4 linked regions of the Arabidopsis thaliana genome follow. The protein of the gene in region 4 interacts with the protein of the main gene of each other region in a pairwise test. Each region holds a gene or a part of one and is shown on either strand. Other genes may lie near its edges. The genes, in order: MUB4, ATGP4, RGLG3 and UBC30.

Evidence for each region.
Region 1: the proteins of UBC30 (region 4) and MUB4 interact in a two-hybrid assay, tested with the Arabidopsis thaliana proteins (one study listed by BioGRID).
Region 2: the proteins of UBC30 (region 4) and ATGP4 interact in a two-hybrid assay, tested with the Arabidopsis thaliana proteins (one study listed by BioGRID).
Region 3: the proteins of UBC30 (region 4) and RGLG3 interact in a two-hybrid assay, tested with the Arabidopsis thaliana proteins (one study listed by BioGRID).

The regions. Positions count from the first base shown.
Region 1 is NC_003074.8:9,945,222-9,949,737, forward strand, and holds MUB4 (membrane-anchored ubiquitin-fold protein 4 precursor), read right to left. Parts: upstream 2,864-4,516; 5' UTR 2,573-2,863; intron 2,298-2,572; 5' UTR 2,224-2,297; coding exon 2,094-2,223; intron 1,562-2,093; coding exon 1,391-1,561; intron 1,308-1,390; coding exon 1,246-1,307; 3' UTR 535-1,245; downstream 1-534. Other genes in the region: AT3G26960 (Pollen Ole e 1 allergen and extensin family protein), read right to left, coding at 55-238; AT3G26990 (ENTH/VHS family protein), read right to left, coding at 3,205-3,957, 4,211-4,246, 4,332-4,471. UniProt on the Arabidopsis thaliana protein: May serve as docking site to facilitate the association of other proteins to the plasma membrane.
Region 2 is NC_003075.7:12,849,115-12,853,626, forward strand, and holds ATGP4 (Ubiquitin family protein), read right to left. Parts: upstream 2,697-4,512; 5' UTR 2,332-2,696; exon of another isoform or gene 2,236-2,331; 5' UTR 2,136-2,235; coding exon 2,006-2,135; intron 1,754-2,005; coding exon 1,583-1,753; intron 915-1,582; coding exon 859-914; 3' UTR 537-858; downstream 1-536. Other genes in the region: AMY1 (alpha-amylase-like protein), read right to left, coding at 2,995-3,246, 3,319-3,684, 3,909-4,339, 4,411-4,512. UniProt on the Arabidopsis thaliana protein: May serve as docking site to facilitate the association of other proteins to the plasma membrane.
Region 3 is NC_003076.8:25,606,239-25,611,057, forward strand, and holds RGLG3 (Copine (Calcium-dependent phospholipid-binding protein) family), read right to left. Parts: upstream 3,069-4,819; 5' UTR 2,789-3,068; intron 2,750-2,788; exon of another isoform or gene 2,689-2,749; 5' UTR 2,679-2,688; coding exon 2,610-2,678; intron 2,531-2,609; coding exon 2,446-2,530; intron 2,360-2,445; coding exon 2,219-2,359; intron 2,134-2,218; coding exon 2,020-2,133; intron 1,941-2,019; coding exon 1,763-1,940; intron 1,686-1,762; coding exon 1,580-1,685; intron 1,503-1,579; coding exon 1,384-1,502; intron 1,269-1,383; coding exon 1,118-1,268; intron 1,016-1,117; coding exon 959-1,015; intron 852-958; coding exon 768-851; 3' UTR 533-767; downstream 1-532. Other genes in the region: AT5G63960 (DNA polymerase delta subunit 1), read left to right, coding at 9-76, 154-241, 347-434; SAL1 phosphatase-like protein, read left to right, coding at 3,764-3,829, 4,056-4,131, 4,238-4,311, 4,409-4,614, 4,734-4,819. UniProt on the Arabidopsis thaliana protein: Possesses E3 ubiquitin-protein ligase in vitro.
Region 4 is NC_003076.8:22,727,077-22,731,847, reverse strand, and holds UBC30 (ubiquitin-conjugating enzyme 30), read right to left. Parts: upstream 2,834-4,771; 5' UTR 2,605-2,833; intron 2,116-2,604; 5' UTR 2,093-2,115; coding exon 2,023-2,092; intron 1,852-2,022; coding exon 1,724-1,851; intron 1,585-1,723; coding exon 1,480-1,584; coding exon of another isoform or gene 1,447-1,479; exon of another isoform or gene 1,216-1,446; intron 1,028-1,215; coding exon 884-1,027; 3' UTR 533-883; downstream 1-532. Other genes in the region: AT5G56140 (RNA-binding KH domain-containing protein), read right to left, coding at 3,916-4,065, 4,148-4,291, 4,374-4,490, 4,567-4,680. UniProt on the Arabidopsis thaliana protein: Accepts the ubiquitin from the E1 complex and catalyzes its covalent attachment to other proteins.

The sequences.
Region 1 (4,516 bases), on a different chromosome or scaffold from region 4:
ACAGAGTTTTTGCAGGGAATTAATTAAAGAGATCTTTTTGTTCTGAGTTACTACCGGACATGAAGTAACTGTGTTTAGAGAAACTGTTTTTGGAGCAAACATCGCAGTAAACAAAACCCATTATAGTGATTTCTGCATCTGGTTTTGGTTTGGGTGATGAATGCTTTGAAGATAGAGAGTTTACGAGCAGAAATTGCAGAAGTATAAAAAGAAACATTGTCAGTGATTTCTTCGTCATCTTAAGCACAACAAGTTTCAAGTTTGGTTTATTTGATATTTATGTAAGAATTGGAGAATATGTGTGTGAAGAAAGAAGAAATATAGGGAACTAGTTTTCAGACAAGAATAGAACTCTCTTGAAAGAGCTTCGTGGTTCCTTTCTATATATAGAGAGAGTTATACAAACGTGTCTTTTAAAAATAGGCTTGGATACGAAACGGATATTTTTACTATTCATTTTGTTTTTCATAGTTACAATATTCGAATCGGATTAAAGTAAATACCATATCGAAGAGAAAGTGATGGGAGTACAAAGAAAGGTGCATTTGGAGTGAAGATTATAAATGAGAGCCAGAGGAGAGGAATAGAATTAAAGGCGAAACAAGACAAGATAGTGGAGAGACACTAAGTGAAAGTGAAGGTTATAAATGAGAGAATTAAGTGGGAGACAGTGATAAGTTAGGTGAAAGGACATTTATTGAGATCTCATGCTCTCTGTTTCTTTTGGAGGTTTGTATCTACCTACATCCCCAAAACATTGGCTTTGTGGAAGTGGAAAATGATGAGAAAGGTATGGACCATATAGTAACATATCAAAGTGTTTGCCACTCAAGAACCAAACTGCAAACGTTTAGTACTCGTTTTCACTGTAGGTAATGGACTGGATAAAGATGTTTGGATACAGTTTTGGGCGGATCCTGATAGAGAAAAAAACCAGGTCTAAAATGTACTAAAGATTGACAAAACCATACAAGATATGTTACAGAGATACTTGAATTAGTTCGCGGTAACAAAACTCTTATCTTTATAAAGGATGCTCCAAACAAGAGTTTTTCCATCACAGCTCAAGAGAAACAACTCTAATAGACTAGCTTTATAACGCCATAGATGAAGGTTTCTTTGAACTTGTGAAGAAAATGTCGAATATGAAGCGGTAGTTTATGTTTATATGGTCTTTTAGCAAATACCACAGAGAATCAAAACTTAACTCTTTCAGATTTTTTGACTTGGGACTTGTTGTTGTTCTCACATTATGGTACATGAGCAAAAGCTTCTCTGTGGGGCTTCTTCCTTTTCGATTTTTTTCTCTGTAAGAGAAAGAAAAAACAAGATATTAGGCTAAAGAATTCATTCCACAAACAAGATTTACGGAGATAAGAAAGAACAAGACCTGGTCTTGCTTTTGTTGGAGACAGTTGCACGACAACATGCATTGTAATGACGGATTTAGGGAGATCATCAAATGGAGCTTTACACTGTGCAACAGTTTTACCATTCTCCAAAATCTTACCAGCATTTATCAACTTGATGTCACTAGCTGATTTTGGAACAATCTTCTTGTCTACACACATTCAAAACCCCCAAATTCGATTAGTCAATAAGATACAATAGGAAACAAAATGAGACAAATTCAATTTTTTGTTGAATGCACAAGACTGAAGAGTAAGATCAAGAAATTCTACTAAAAAGAACCAGAACAGTATTCGTCCCTATAGTCTCTAAAGACATGATTTGTAGTATAAGACAAGTGATTAGTAATACAATCAGACCAATTCAAAAGCCTATACCACAAGTGGAGAAACTGTTAAAACATAGATCACAAGATCGAGTAACCTTTTAAAAGATCAATAGTTTAACTTCCTTCTTCTGTTCCTACTTTAAGACAAATGATTAGTAAGTCAATCAGATCCTATGACTTATGTCTGAACTTTGTCTATCAAGCCACAAGTGAAGAAACTGAAGAAAAAAAAAAATGGCTGAAGCAAACGTTCTAAAGCCAAATCTAAAGCATTAAAGAGCACTTCTATCGCATTTTTACTTCTTTTTCACGGATTAGCCGAAAAACAAACCAAAAGATTGTGCTCGGTGCTAACCTTTAGGCCATTCAGAGACAATTCTCTCCTTAAGCATTGACACTGTGGCGGTTGGAGAGTACTGAAACGGGCCAACATCTGAACCGTCATATAACCGGAATTTCAGTTCTACCAAATCTTCCTCCGGCATTTGATTATCTCTTTCTCCCAATACAAAACTCTCACAAGAAAGATTTCACCAGAAAGAATCCACCCAAATGAGACCTATAATAATAAGAGGACAGAGAGATTCTCAAATTCAAAGCATCAATGAAATTGTCGAAGCAAAGAACAAAAATATTTAGAGAAGACTAGTAATAAGAGCACAGTCAAACTTAAAGGAATCAATTAGGAAATTTTCAGTTACTGTCCAAATCAAGAACTTGGACCAAAGGAACAAGAAGAACAATAAGCAAAAGAAAAATAAAAACTTGGAACTCATCTAAGCAACCTAAGCTCCTAAACCGTCAGATAAAGTTACCACAACACACAAATCTTACCCGGACTAGAGACACTCAATCCAAATGTCCAAGTTTGCTAGGTTTTGAGTCTTGGGAATGAAGAGAATCAAGAAAGTAGGAGAGAAACCCTTAAAAGGGTAAATGACCTAATCTCAAAGTGAAGCTGGTAAAATCCAGCTAAGAGATTGCTGCTATGTGATTCTATCAAAGTTTCTGATATGTCTTTCGTCAGGATTGCCGCGTTACAGGGAATCCCTGACGAGTAAGGAAATAAGATAAAAAGACAAGAAAATTGTGGAAAAGTATGTTTCTTTATTAGTCAAAAGCAAAGCCTTGTCGGCGTTTTGACCAGAAGACTTTAAAAGACGAGCAACAAATCACTTTGGTCCAAATCTGACTTCCATGTAAATTTCAAAGAGAGGAACAAGAAAATTTGAAAATCTATAGAATCTTCCAACAATAGTAAAATCTCAGAGCAAAACAAAGGATTTTTATGATATGTTTACAGAGTTGAAACCTTGGATTAGACGCACAATTAGAAAGCATACAAAGCACATTTTAAGAACATAAAATCCTAATTATCAAAAGCCCATTGAAACTATATTTAACAAAAAAAAACCAAAAAAAAAAGTGAACTTTTTGCTATATGAACCCCTACGAACAGATTTACACTACTGGCGAGTGACAGGTGTAATAGGCACAGATGAGTTAATGCCATAGAAACCATCTTGTCCCTGAAACTTCTGGTATGAATTCTCCGATGGAGCAGAGGTTGTTGAAAGTTGAGTGAGCCCAGGTACCCAAGGACCTTGTTCTTGTTGTTGTTGCTGAGTGGTTGCAGTAGAGGTTGCTATGGTGTAGTTGAATGGTGTGTGGTTTACTGGCCCGGGAGGCTGTAACGGCTGCAAAAACTGAGGTTGAAGCTGGAATGGTGGTGGTGGTGGAAGCGGTTGTGGGGGTGTGGAGGATGATGTTGTTGCAGTGTTCTGATGGTGCGGTGAGAGATACGACTGGTCATGATTTTGAAGCTTAGGTCTTTTCTCTGGTGGGAAATCGACGGATGATAGAGTTTCTGTTACAGCAGGTGGGTTGTTGTTTCCGATGATGCCTTCGGAGGCTAAGGAGGAGAGAACATAGGAGAGCATCTCGGCTGAGGAAGTTGAAGCAGTTAGCTTAGCTACCACTGCAGCAGCAGCAGTTTTTCTTGGGTCTTCCAGCGATTGAGTTGGGTTTGAGGCAAACATAACTGGTGCAGATTGTTCCACATCGCTGTGTGTGAAGCTTTGTGGTGCTGCTGCAGTGGATGAAACTTTGATAACTTCTTTTGACTCTTCTTCTTCTGTAGCAGGAGGCTGTGAACTACCACCATGGTCTAGAAGCTGTCTGCAGAGATCACCAGTTCGGTCTGATTGAAACCGAGCAATCTGAAATCGTAGCACAAATGAAATCAATTCAACTAAATAGCATAAAGACAAGGCAACATTCTGTTTGGAAAGGCAACCAAGAACCCTAATTAGATTTGGGTCTATCTTCCTTGAACAAATTCACTAAACAAGCTTGAAGCTAGACCAGCATGTCTCGGAAAGTACTATTGAGAACGTTATGATGTATTGTGTAAATTGAAATGTATAAAATGTCTGAGGAACAAATATCACATTTGTTGGTAAGTATTCAAACCTGAAGGTGGTTACGGACTTGCTCCAGCTTGAGTTCCTGGACACAAAAACAAAAACAAGGTGAGGTTTCTGGCCGGTGCAATGAAAGATGTTGTTTTGAAAGAAAATGTATAAATGTAAACCTGTTCTTGTAAAGCTTCTCTCAAATGTGAGATAAGACTTGTTCTGGATGTCTCCATTGCCCCTAGCTGTTCGATGCAGTCTCTCAATATGACATGTTGTCCCTGCAACTCCTTCACCACCGCTGGCCCAGGGGCGTGTCCTATTTAAAGCAATGCTCAAGAAGTAAGATAGTGAAAACAACTTC
Region 2 (4,512 bases), on a different chromosome or scaffold from region 4:
CCTATCATAATTTATCCATCAACAGCCCAATCTTTTTAGCGCCACGCATAAAGCTTGGCTCCCTTTTTTGGTTTTTTTTCTCCTCGTTTTAAATGTTAAAACTAGGTTGTTTTACTTGTGTTTTGATATTTTTAACTATTGTTTGTAGTACATGTGTTTGATTCAATTTAGTTTCATATTGCCATCTTTCTGCAATTCTTTTTTTTTTTAATGTAGATAAGTACATACCATTGTTATGACTTTTTTTAGTTTATGTTGGTATTTATAAGTAGCTAGGTTATGACTTGTGTCATATATCATGTGTTATTACATCATGCCTCTGTTCGAGACTACGTCGCCTTCATCCATCACTACTCTTCCTGTCTGTCTGATCGGAACCGCAACTCCATCCTCTTACCTTTTCCCAACCTAAAACAAAAAGAGATGAATTTTCTGTTCGAAGTGATGTTCAGAGTTCATGAATTCATTAATTACATTTACGGGCCAGCCAGAATTTGGCCATTTCGCAAATTCACCTATACTAAAACGGTGTGAAAGGAAGAACGAAAAATACAAAGGCACAATCTTTTTTAAAAATAGATAGATATATAATTATCTTCATCACACGTAACGTAATGGACCTAGTAACCTATACAGCTTCCATACATTGGGAAAGTAAGAAGAAAAAACAAATAAGGGACAAAGAGTTACTTGAAAAGAATTTATAGTTCATTTTCTACACATTCAAAGATGATAAATAACTCCACAGCTTAAAGGGAAGCTTTACTTTACTTTTAGCTTTCTTTTTTTGATTTTGTTTTCTTCTGTACCGGAAGAATTGAAACGATGTGTATGATAGATACATTGGTCTTCCTCCCTTCACAAAATGGTGCATGTGCAGATTACTGCCTTTGGTGCTTTATCAACCTTCTTCTCTGTTTAATCAAAAACCAGTATTCAACTGTTAGTTAGCTTTCATCAACAAACGTCTTAGTAATCACAAACTCACTTTCCACGACTTTCTCAAGTTTGTGAAAAAACAAATTATGCAGACAAATCTCAAAGACTGGCAAAAGTTTTCAGTGGGGTTTACAAGGAGATGACGACCAATAATGAATTCAGGTATTCCTTTCCTCATGGCATGCTTTGCTAAGCTTAGAGCTGATTTTTGCTTTATTTCACACAAAGAACACACCAGAAACCTAGGAATGAATTCTAGGGTATCCTTTACTCTCTCTCAAGACAAACAAACCAAATTTAGACAAAACCACTAATCACCTGATAGGTTGATTGAGTCAGTACCATAGGCTGTTAGAAAGAAAAAGAATGTACTGATCTTAGTCACCGACTAACTTTCTGATGTGCATGAACACTCTTACGAAATCTTACCAGCCTCAATTAATATAAGTATGACTAGAGCTAGATATTATAAGACGTAAAGTTGAGCCAGATAAATGAATACCATAATCCATACAGTTGACAAGATAAATACCACAAGACTAATGAAAGATTGAGGAACCTCTAAGGACACATATATCTCCATGAAACGGGAATTCTCTGATATAAAAGACATGAAGAACATTACACATAGACAAACAACTACCTGTTTTGGATTTAGCTAGAGAAGGCTGTACAACAACATGCATCACAATGACTCCACCAGCAATATCTCCAAATGGTGTCTTACACTGCCCAACAGTCTTGTTGTTCTCCAAGATCTTACCCGAGCTTATCAGCTTCACTTCGTTTATCCCCTTTGGAACAACTGTTTTGCCTAACCAAAACCACAAAAAAATTGATGCTTGGATCAACCTCAAATCACAGAGACTTGGCTTTTCTCATACATCAAGCTTATAACATCTCAAATGAGCTAATAATAATTCATCTACAGCTCTAAATTTCGAATTTCTACCGACAATTGCAGGATTCAGTGACAATCAACACGAAATTCGTGGGAAGATCATGAATAAAACCAGGATCAGATTGGGGAAAAAGGGGCACCGATTCAAAAAACCTTAAAACTAACCTTTGGGCCAATCAGAGACGACCCTCTGCTTCAAAAAGTCAACAGTAGAAGCCGCAGAATACCGAAAAGGCCCGATATCGGAGCCATCGTACAACCTGAATTTGATATCTATCGATTCTTCCTCCGGCATATCCGTTGACTTCTCTCTGACCTCCGATTACCAACCAAATTCCAGCTCCGATCACCAATCCCGCTTCTCAAACACAACTATTTCAGATCTGAAAATAGGTCTGAAAAAAAGTAGACAGGAACGAGAATCAGAGCTCGCTTCGAAACGGGATAGAACAAAAAAACAAAAAACAAAAAAGAGGAAGAATCAAACACACAGAATCGAAGCTTCCTCCGAAATCGTGTTTCGGATCTTTGATTTTGAGGTGTGAAAAAAGCGAAAGAAGGAAGAAGAAAGAGCTTGCTTTTTTCAAGAGTCACCAAATATCAAAGTTCCTTCTCAAGCCGACGGTTTTCACTTTTTTCCTTCCTTTTTTTTTTCCCCTTTCTTTTCGTCGTCACTTCTACTTCTTCTCAAGCCGACGTCTTCAACTTTTATTGTCCTAGCCAAAAACGCTGTCGTTTTATTCGAATTTACCTGTCTAACTGTTCCCACTTCCCACCATACTTTTTTTTTCTTCTTCTACAATAATATAATTCGTTCTGATTTTGGCAGTATTGTGTGGTTAAGACATCATAATTCTGATTTTAGTAGGGCTCCAAATCTTATACGAGTCGGCCAATATATAATATATTAGTTGTATGCAACAAAACAAAACGATGGAAACTTTCCAATACTTATTTCTACAAGTTGACACTTCTTCACTTGAACTCTTTTCTTTCACTGGAGTTGTATCCTTTAACACCACTAGTGCTCTTTTTATTTAGGTATTCTTTATCATTTTATATTTCATTATACATATCTTTAGATACTGCCAAAATGTTTTATTAAAAAGGAAGAAGATACATTCGATTACTTTTCTTATGATTCGAGTTATGCGTTACTTCTTCTCCCAGACAGCAAAGTCAAGGCCTGAATAAGCTAAAGCAAAATTAGAAGGAACAAGTGTTCCCACATCTTGCTTTGGTCCAATCTTCATGATAACTTTATCATCAATCATAGCCAAGTAGAGATCCGCCTCTGCCGCTTTTATCGTTACAGAGCTTGTGCTACCAATCCCATTTTTGTTCCTGATAGCCACCAGCTTTGAGATGCTCTCTTTTAGTCCCCATTCTATGTAATGATTATAAAACTGCAACAAAAATAACATATCAACAAGATTGTAGTTGTAAATAGTATAGCTACATACTAAAATGATACTTACAATGCAAGGAGTTCCTGGATGAGTAAGTATATAAACGTATCCAAGCAAGACTTTATCAGAAGGGAAAACCCACGTTCTGAATGTATCATGGTTATCTATGAATGTGACAGCGTTTCCGGGCATGATTCCTATCATACCAGGCGGTTTTCCCTGCGAGTCCTTTAGTCTCCAAAGCTCACCTTTGACAGCAGACTGTAAGATCCCTTTGGTGGTGAAATCAAAAGCTGTCAACACACCACCACCCGCTTCCTCGATCCACTGTTTGAGACCCGACCGATGCTCGTTCTGATCATAGTCTAGTTTCCCGTCTCCTCCGTACTTCATATCGTCCCATTTCTCACCCACCGCAAAATCCGGTGATGTATTCTGTGTATCCAAAAACAGAGGAATTTATCACATAATCAGTAGTGAACTTTCTTATATATTTCTTATTGATTGCATTGACTTATGTTTCTTATATACTAAATAGTAGTAAATAACCCTATCAACCTATGATACTTATATATACTAATAGTAAATAATTATCTCAACCTATGTTTCTTATATACTAATACTGTTGTCTGATATTTGAGAATTCATATGTGATTTACCTGAACGTATAATTTGGTGATGGAAGATGCATAACCTCGAACATAATCAAATCTCCAACCATGGAATCCGATTTCAGTTTTAAGCCAATTCATCCATTCGGACAACTCTTTCTGAACTCTAGGGTTAAGGTGGTCGATGTCGGGCGCTCCATCAAAATCTCCTCCGGTGTCGAGGTTTCCGGTACCGGGAAATTTAGGGTCATTGCGGCAGACAAAGGAAGGATCCCAATCAAGACGATCATCGGAAGTCCCACCTTCGAAATAACAGTATCCACATTTATCGTCTTTCCTCTCAGCTGTTCTGTGGTTAATCACTATATCAGCCAAAGCTTTTATTCCTTTTTGATTCAACGCTTTGATTAACGATTTCAGTTCCGCCTCTGAACCGTATTTGGAGCTGTTTAGATCGTATAGCTTTCCCGGTAAGTAACCTGAGGAATGAAGATTGCGTGAGTAACAAGATTGGTATGTGAATGTGTAAAGAGTAAAGCAGAAATGGAACCTTCAGGAGCAACGGATTGAGAAGGAGGAGGAAGCCAAAGATGAGTGATTCCAGCGTTGGCTATGTCGTCAATGGAGTTGTGGAGAGAATTGTAGAATCCTC
Region 3 (4,819 bases), 2.9 Mb from region 4:
TCAACCAGCAATGGAACACTATGCGCAAGTTGCAAGGGAAGAGAAGCCGAGTTATATTGCAAAAACGTGTCTCAAGGTATGCTGCCGTTTTTCCCTTTCCTATAGACTCTTTGATATATCTATAAAATTTGATACTTTCGTTGTGTTATTCAGTGGCTGAGCTTGAAGAGGTTTTTGGGAGGCTGTGGACACAGTGCCAGGAGTGTCAAGGCTCTCTTCATCAAGATGTCTTGTGCACCAGGTTTGCTTATATTTTTATCGATATCAATTTCTTTTAGAAATCTTTCAGCAGGTAAATAGGTTCTGATCCAATTTCCTTTCTGGATTTCTTATTGGTCTTTTACAGTCGAGATTGTCCAATATTTTACCGGAGAATGAAAGCACAAAAAGACATGGCTGTAGCCAGGCAACAACTCGACCGTTGGAGCTTCTAATAAGTATTTAAGGTTGTTTTTAGCTCTCTCTTTTTTCCATTGGTATCGTTGCTGTTACACTTTCCGCTTGATTTAGAACTTGTAGGTCTCTTTGGAATGTTATAAAAAGGACCTCTTCGGCTTATTTGTACGTAGCTGTTGATTAATACAAAAAGAGAACTCTTCTCGCATATCTCCTTGTTTCGGCAGGCTAAGAATTACATATGAACTACAACTCGAGATTTATGCTTTACAATTCTTCTGCTTGGACTGTACAATGTTCTACAGAAGTATAAACATGAAGCTCAAGTGCTTAACCATATAATTTGTCTCATCTCTAAGAATTTTTCCGAGTCAAGTGTACAGCCTTATCCTTGTTGTTATTGGTTGTCTGCATAGTGGGCATGTTGTGATAACAACTCCGCATTCCTTGCATGTCTTTATTTGAAATAAAAAGTATCGGAGATGTCACAAAATCGATCTAGAAGCAGTACAGTTCATAGAACAAGTAAGAGTATAATTGTTCCTTTGAAATTTTCACATACCGTGTGACCGCAGCTAAAAGCCATGTCCTTTGGATTCGTCAAGCAAATCGGGCATACCTTTTTGAAAAACAAAAGGAATGTAAATCTCAGTATCAGAGAAACTGAGTATACTCATTGACAAAAGAACAGAAACAAAGGCAGAAATAATAGAGTATTTACCGGCACTGTGGAAGGAGCGAGTCTGTCACTTTTCTCTGCAGTTTCTGTCATCTGATTTGGCACCGATCTAACAGCATTGTCACGCTCTATAACCTCTGGTGGTGGCGGGAGTGGCTTGTGGTGCTGATGGGAACTGCGCACTGGTTTTCTACTGTTCATAAGCACAATCAAAGGTTGGTTTAGTTGGCAAAGAATCTAATGCAATAAGACCATAAACAGTGAGTGATACAAGTAGTTTCCAACGGTAAATTTTTTATTGCATTTACTTGAGACTTAATGTAGCCTTGTATTGAAAAGGGATCTCCATGAGAGCTGCGAGTGCGAAAGCAGCCTCCTTCTTAGCCGCATCTTTGTGCTCTGACATTATCTTCGTGAAGTTTACAAACTGTGGAACAAAACACAGTTTTTCATGATTCATGTTTCAGGAACAAAACAGAGCTATTCAGGGTTTTATTATATTACCTGGAAGTTATCGAATTCACGGTGAGGAATATTGTCATCGAATTGTTTCATTGTGTCCCATGGTCCATCTCCTACTCCAACCAAGACTATCGACAATGGGTAATGGCTGGAAAATTTATATCAAACATCATTAGTATACATATGAAGTCTGATCATGAATATGAGCTTATTGAATAGTTTTACCTCGCTGCCATTATCGAGTTCATAGTAGCTTCTTCCTGTGGACTAAGTCGACCAAGCGGCACATCTGGATTTCTTGTGACCTGACCATCTGCGATAATGACGAGAACATGGTATTGCATATTGTTCTGCTCAACTATGTTGATGGCAGCATCAATAACCGGTGCAAACGAGGTAGGACCTGTGAGGGAAGAATACACTGATTAATCTTTACGATAAGAGAGAACAAAACTGCTCCATTTTTGAAAGTTCAAAAATACCGGACAACTTCAAATGTGGGACAATCTCTCTATATCTTTTAACTGCGTTTTCCAATCCGTCGCAGCTTTTGTTCTCGGGATAAAAGCTGAATACATATTGATCTCGCGTTGTTACTGCAGGAAGAAGAAAACATAAAACCATTAAGAACTTTGGTTTATCTTATTCATTCATCTTGAAAGCAAGAAATAAGAAACTAACCATCGCCAAAACCGAAACAAGGTATAAGATCATCTTCATCAAAGGGAGACAAAGTACGACCAATAATCGATATTGCTTTCTCATATGGATTCTGTCTTTTACCAATGGCATGAAGGCTTTTTCTATTGAATGAATATCTCCCTGCAATGAAAATTCAGAACATTAACCAAAACCATTGAATCTTTTCGTAAACATGTGTAGCATTTTTTATCAAATCAAATAATTACCTGTCCACTCATTGCTCTTGGTAAAGTCAATTCCTAGAATCAGATTTGAAGATTCAAGTCCAGCTTCTCTCAGAGAAGTTATCACCTAAAAAGCAAAGTTCACAAGAAATTCATCACTATGAAAGAGACTAAAATCAAGAAATAACTAAGTAAGTTTATGAGACCTGATCCAAACTGCTGAAATGATCAGCAATATACGAAGGTTGCTGATTACGTTTATTGCTCATGTTCATTGAAAAAACCCTGCAGCACAAGAACCTTCAGAAATCCAATCTTTGGAGAAGAAACCAATCAAAATCAAGAATAAAAGATACAGTTACACAAGTGGCAAGTATATATCAACCTGGAGTTTGTTGAAAACACAAAAGACTTCTCGGAATCTTTCTTGTAAGAAAAAACTTTTGTTGGAGATTATCTTCTGTAGGAAGATTAAATTATTAAAAAGATGGCACAAAAGAGAAATATGAACATATAAAAATACTTTAGCAGAAAAAAATGAACATATAAAACTATAGAAAGTGGGTTTTGTTGAATCTTGAAAGTTAGTGGAACGTGACCCTTTGCTTGCGCCGGCAAATAATCAAAACGTATTTTGCTCTCTCACACGCCATCATCAATCTAGAAATCTTTTTTAGTCTTGTCTCTGCGTCATTAATGATTTATCCATAACCCAAAATCATAGACCAAATTTCAACATGATTCATGTGGACAACGTGGCAAAGCTGTAGCTCTTGTCTGAAGAAAATTATTTGGGCTTTTGATTCCCTCAAAATATATTAACCCAGAACCGTTTTTATTGGGCTTCTTCATTCATCAAGAAGCCTTTTTGTATCTTCACCACCTATAAATTCACTTATGTTTCAACCACAACATCCACGTGCGATTAGCCCAAAACTCAACAACCAATCTACGAAGATCACTAAAGTTTTTTATTTTTATGATTTTCACCGTTTGTACTTGTTCTTTCAATTGGTGCCACATGGACCCCTAAACCAACAGAGCAAATATGGCCTTTCTTGATCTAAAATAAAGTTTAGGGTTTAAGTTCAGAGAATAAATAAGTACACTGGTGTAAATGGGAAATTCAAAAAAGTAATAATAATTGTCTCTGCAATCAGAAAATGTGAAGACATATATTTATCTTCTTGAAAAGCGAATGATGTCTATAAATTGTTTTCGAACAGCGAAGGCTCCGCTTCAATCATTTGTAGCAGTAAGAACGAATTCGAGACCTAGAAATTCATCGAACCGTCTCGTTTCTGTATTCGGACGCAAGTCTTCTTCTCCTTCATTTGTTACTCTCAGAGTTGTTTCATCGATGGCTTACGAGAAAGAGCTTGATGCTGCTAAGAAAGCTGCTTCACTCGCTGCTCGTCTCTGTCAGGTTAGGGTTTTTTCGATTCAATCATGACCCATAGATTCTAAAGTTTGATTCTTTAAGAAACCCATTTTGTAAATCTTCCAAATTTCGTTTAACATTTTGTGTTTATTGTGCATTGCATCTGTAATTGGGAATAGATTCTAGTGATATAGTGTAATGGTCCTCTACATACGAAGCTCGTGTAAATCTTTGATCAAAATCTTATCTTTGTGTTTTGGGTTTGTTTCAGAAAGTTCAAAAGGCTTTGTTGCAATCAGATGTGCAATCAAAATCTGATAAAAGTCCAGTGACCGTTGCTGATTATGGTTAGTTTGTTATACCTGTCCCTGATTAGAAAAAGCTCTTCTCTTTGAATGTTACTGAGATTGTTAGGAAATCACTTAATTTGATCTGTCTTGTGTTGAATTTCAGGTTCACAAGCAGTTGTTAGTTTAGTCTTAGAAAAAGAGCTCAGTTCTGAACCCTTTTCATTGGTGGCTGAAGAGGTGAAACTGCTTAATAAATCCTTGTTAGATGTCTCACACTTTACTTATCTTTGAGTTTGTGTTTATGGACTCACATTGTCTAAAATGATCTATATAGGACTCAGGCGATCTACGCAAGGATGGTTCTCAGGATACTCTGGAGCGCATCACAAAACTCGTGAACGACACTTTGGCTACCGAGGAATCGTTTAATGGCTCTACTTTGTCTACTGATGATCTACTTAGAGCCATTGACTGTGGAACATCTGAAGGTGGTCCAAATGGTCGACACTGGGTCTTGGATCCAATTGATGGCACTAAAGGGTACGTTTTAAAACTAACTAGCCTAAAGTCAAATCTTCTTATTTCAGAGAAAATGTAAATTTGATAGAATGTTGAGTCAGATGTTATGTTCCTGACACTGAGCATTTTCATGATTTTAGATTTCTGAGGGGAGATCAATACGCAGTAGCACTAGGATTGCTCGAGGAAGGGAAAGTAGTTTTAGGTGTGCTTGCTTGTCCAAACT
Region 4 (4,771 bases):
TAAATTGCTTGCGCACGTTTTCTTCTGCGGTTTTTGCATCGCGTGTATTCGTGTATTTCGCATTAACTGTTGAGTTACACTGTTACCTCATGCGTTTCTTTCTTAAATGTCATCAATATTTGAAGCTTCGTATGGTCGACCAAACTTAACCGAATTCAACATTTTGATTTAAATTTATAAACACTTCTTCTTCGAATTTATTTATTTCCCCCCAAATAATCACTTGTTTCTGATGCACATCAGACCTCACCCAACCAAAAACGCGTTCTAATGGTGAAGTCACACGGAATTCATTTTTTTATTTAACAGCTATATACATTATGTATCTTTGTCAGCTATGAAAAAGACCGAATAAGTAGCTAAATTCGTAAACCAGTTAAATATAACTTGTTCCAAACCCAATTTGAAATTTTCAAATAAAAAAGAAAGAGAAAACCGTACAAATGGATCAAGTCAATAGTCATATTCAGTTGTTATTCTATTCTCAAGACTTTTATAGTAGTTTGCCAATAGGAATCTAACACCGTATAAACTTGTCACGATCACCAAAATGTGTTGGTCCAACTCCAATCTAATTTCACAATCACTATTATGCGCAAATGTTTTATTATCTGCAAACTTATGTGATATTCTTCTACACTACTAGCAAGGGACTCATCATGATAGCGGATTATTGGCTTAAAAGCATTTGCAAGATCTCAATGTTTCAAATAAGGCATAAAGCTCATGTACACACCCAACACACAGCTTCAAGATATAATTAAAAAAAAAAAACTAATAAGCAAAAGTAGCCAAAGTAAAAGCCAAACTGAGTTTTTTTCTTTCTTTCTTATTTCTCCTGTTTAATACGCAATGTACTGGTGGTGGGTATTATTGCTTGTTATCATCCCATTGCATACTTCTGAGTCCAGGATTGAGCTGTGGACTCGTACTTGACTCGGTCTGTCTTGTAGATGTGCGCTATTTCAGGAACCAAAGGATCGTCAGGGTTTGGATCCGTCAGCAATGAGCATATCGACAGAAGAACCTGCGGAAATTGCACCACCAACTTTAGTTCTTCAGCTTATATGCAAATAAAAGATTATCATTGTCTCGCTAATGAGAGTCATTAAACAAATTAAATCTAGATAACATGTCATCAACAGCGATAATGAAGGCCTTTAAACATTATAACATAATGTAACACTCCTATTAAAAGAGATAACTAGAATTTACTTGACTAATCCATATCACAGCATTTAGACAAGGGTACAAATAACAGAGCTCAATCTTTTATGATAATGGCCTTGACTATATCCAAGGGATTGCGATGTTGTTTGTTCATAAAACCAATGTAAAGAGAGGTTGGTCAAAGAAGATAATCACATCAGAGAACGAACTAAGACATGACCATTTAACTAAGACATGGTCACAAGAAGGTGTGGTGGAAAATAGACTAATGCTATACTAAAAAGTAAGGAAGTGAAACAATTTGATCACCTTGGATACGGTAAGTGCAGGGCTCCACTGCTCTTTCAGAATGTCAAGACAGATACTTCCATTACTGTTGATGTTTGGGTGATAAACCTTGGTCCGGAAGGCAACCTGCATCATAAACAATGAAGGTTTATTGCCACAAAAAGCCTACTTGATTGAACACTCTCTCTAAATCATAATGGTGTGGATGAACAAATTCATTAAGCTACACAAATAAACATAACAAAAAACAAAAAACTTCTGTTACCTTTGGTGGCTTGAAAGGGTAATCTGGTGGGAAGTGAATGGTAACAAGAAACACACCTCCGGCAAACGGGCTATCTGCTGGACCCATGATAGTTGCTTGCCATTGGAACATATCATCTCCCGTAGGACCTAATAACATCACCAATTCATTAAAATCTAAATAGCTCATAATGTATCTTAAGGACAAAAAAAAAAACATTCTCCTAAAACTGATTCTGAGGTTAATGCTACATCATCTACTGAATCTATCAAAGTGGTTCTTTAAATTTCACAGTAGATATCATAGATTAAAACACTCACCTGCACTGCAGGACACAGGAGGATCTCTTTGCAAGTCCCTAAGCTCTTTGTTAATTCTTTTCGACGCCATTGAATAGTCCTAGCTTCTGCTAGCTAGGAACAAAATCAAATCAAAAAAATTACTATACTGCTACAAGTACAGATGCAAAAGCAGTACACAGCAAAAACCAGTTAACATATGGAGCAAGAACATAGCTATCCTAAAAGGAAAGACTTTATGCAAATCAGCTTTGATAATTAGCCTAAGATACACCTCCTGAAGAAATCAACCAGAAAAATCTCGAAATCAAACACTCAAGCCCAAGAGACAATCCGATCAGAATTCGATCAAACAGAGAGAAAATCAACGAACAATTCAGAAACAGATCAAGCAATTACGCATCAGTTAAAGGTAAATCATCAGAAGTAGGTACGAGAATATTCTAGAACCAAGATAACAGAAAAAACACATGGATCGACGCAAGGAAACAAAACCGCGAGAGAATCAAACGACGAAGATCAAGAACTGGGAAACGAATAAACCCTAAGAGTAACGATGATTCAAATCGAAATCGAGATTTATCGGAGCTAATTTTGACCTACCTTTTGTTCGGTTTCTAGGGTTTTGGATTTGATGATCTTCGGAAATCTCAAGGGGTTGTTTTGAAGATGAAACTTGTTAGCATCGATACGGTTTATATAGATTCCTCTCTTTCGAGCGGTGAAGCTTTGCCACGTAGCGAGCTAGATTCTGTACTTATGGGCTATAATAAGGCCCAATCGTTTACTGACGGAGCCCATTGACTCTTTTGTCCATAATAAGAAACGTTATGCAAATTTGGAAAAAGAAAATAGAAGAAGGATTAAACAAGAAATTTTCAAAAAAGAAACAGGAAATCAAAAGAAAATGATATTTATTTCAGATTGCAAAGATTTGGTACCTTAAGGGGAAAAGGGAAAAGTGGAAAACTTATCACAATTTTTTTTGACATATGTTCCTTTTGTTCTTAAAAAACTTTCTTATATGAAAAGAAAAACACTTTCTTATATGCAAATAAAATCTATACATTACAAAAATTGTTATGCATTTGCATATTACTAATAAAGTAGTATTTGTGAATGGTAGATTTCATATGTAAGATGTTACTCTTACCAAATTCGATAGGATTTTAAAATTATCTTTTATATAAAGTACATAACAATTTTTGAATAGGCCTTTTTTGTAAAACAGTAAAGGAAAGCTACCTTGCATCACAAGAAACTAGGTTATAAGGGTCACAGGCCATTAAACCGATTGACATATGGGTATACTAACCGATTTACTTAAATATATAGATCTGTTTAAAGTTTAATCAAGTAATCTTTCAATGTTGAAAACAGAGTTGACATGTAATAGAAAATGTCGACTTCCAGTAATAAAAATGTGAAAAATACTCGAGAACAGAACATTTGCTTTACATAATTCCACATATCATATTGAAACAAGCTTTACTTTGACGTTTATGTATCCAAAACATATTATGATTATTATCATTACCAATACCAGACACAAACCATCATCATGATTTAATGTTTTCTTTTTGCTAAAACAACAAATAAACAAAAAACTTAAAAGAAAACTGTTGGAACCCAACTTTCCAGACATAAAAACATAAACAAAAACAAAATCAAAGTCTCGGAGAGAGACAGAGACTCATCAGCTCTTGTGTTTCCGTTGCAATTTTGTCATCTGATCTCTCTCCGGGACAATGATACATAGACTGACAAACACATTTCATAAATCATATATACAACATTTCTACCCCAAGGACAAGAGACAGTACCGTGTCGTCAAGAGTGGTATGGCCTTTTTGTGTCGACTTTTGGATCGGTTTCATATTGCTTTATGATCACAGCCAAACTGTTCGATGGTTTTTACCCTTCTCTTGTTTTGGCTCTCTTCATACCAAGGCTATTGTAAGGAGAAACAGAACCGGACATTGGAGATCCTTCTTCACGAAGAGTTCCATTGAGCAATGCTAGCTCGCGCAGCTGTTGTTTCTTGTACATATCATGGGTTTCCTCCTATAAAACAGAAACCGAGTGTGAAAACTTTGTAACAATAACTGGTTTAAAATCAAAGGGAGGGGGAGAGCTAAAAACAAACCATAGGAGTAAGAAGATCGTCAAGTATTTCCCGAGCTTGCATGAGCCGTGCATCGACTATTTCAATCGGTAATTCTGCTTCCACTAAGATATGAAGTGGTTCATTTAGGTGCTCGTATCCCGGTTTTCCTCTCATCATTTCCTCCTACAAGAAGAAATATATTAACACCTTGTACAAACATTGAAATGTAGATACAAATGAAGTTGTAAAGTTTAATAATAAATACCTTAATTGGATCTTTTATACTTCCTCTTCCTCTTATAAGAACACGGCAATCAGTACTTGCTTCAACTCGCTTCAGGGAGTTTCCTCTAGGACCCAGGAGGCGACCAACAAAATTGAACTGCCATATAGAAAATTAAGGAGTTACATTCCAACCAGGAAGTAGTATATCTCAGTGTAGAAATGAAAGTTCATACATTCGGATAATTGTCGACTGGAATATCGACCCTGATTGTACGCTTGGCGATGAGACCGGACGAACTACCAGGTGAGTTAAGCCAATTTGGTCCCGGAGATGATGGAACAGATCTCTGCAAATGATCAACCAACAAAATTAGAAGCAAGATCAACCTTTAAGCATAAGCACATGAATACTGCAACTTCTTGCCCTGGAACTTCATT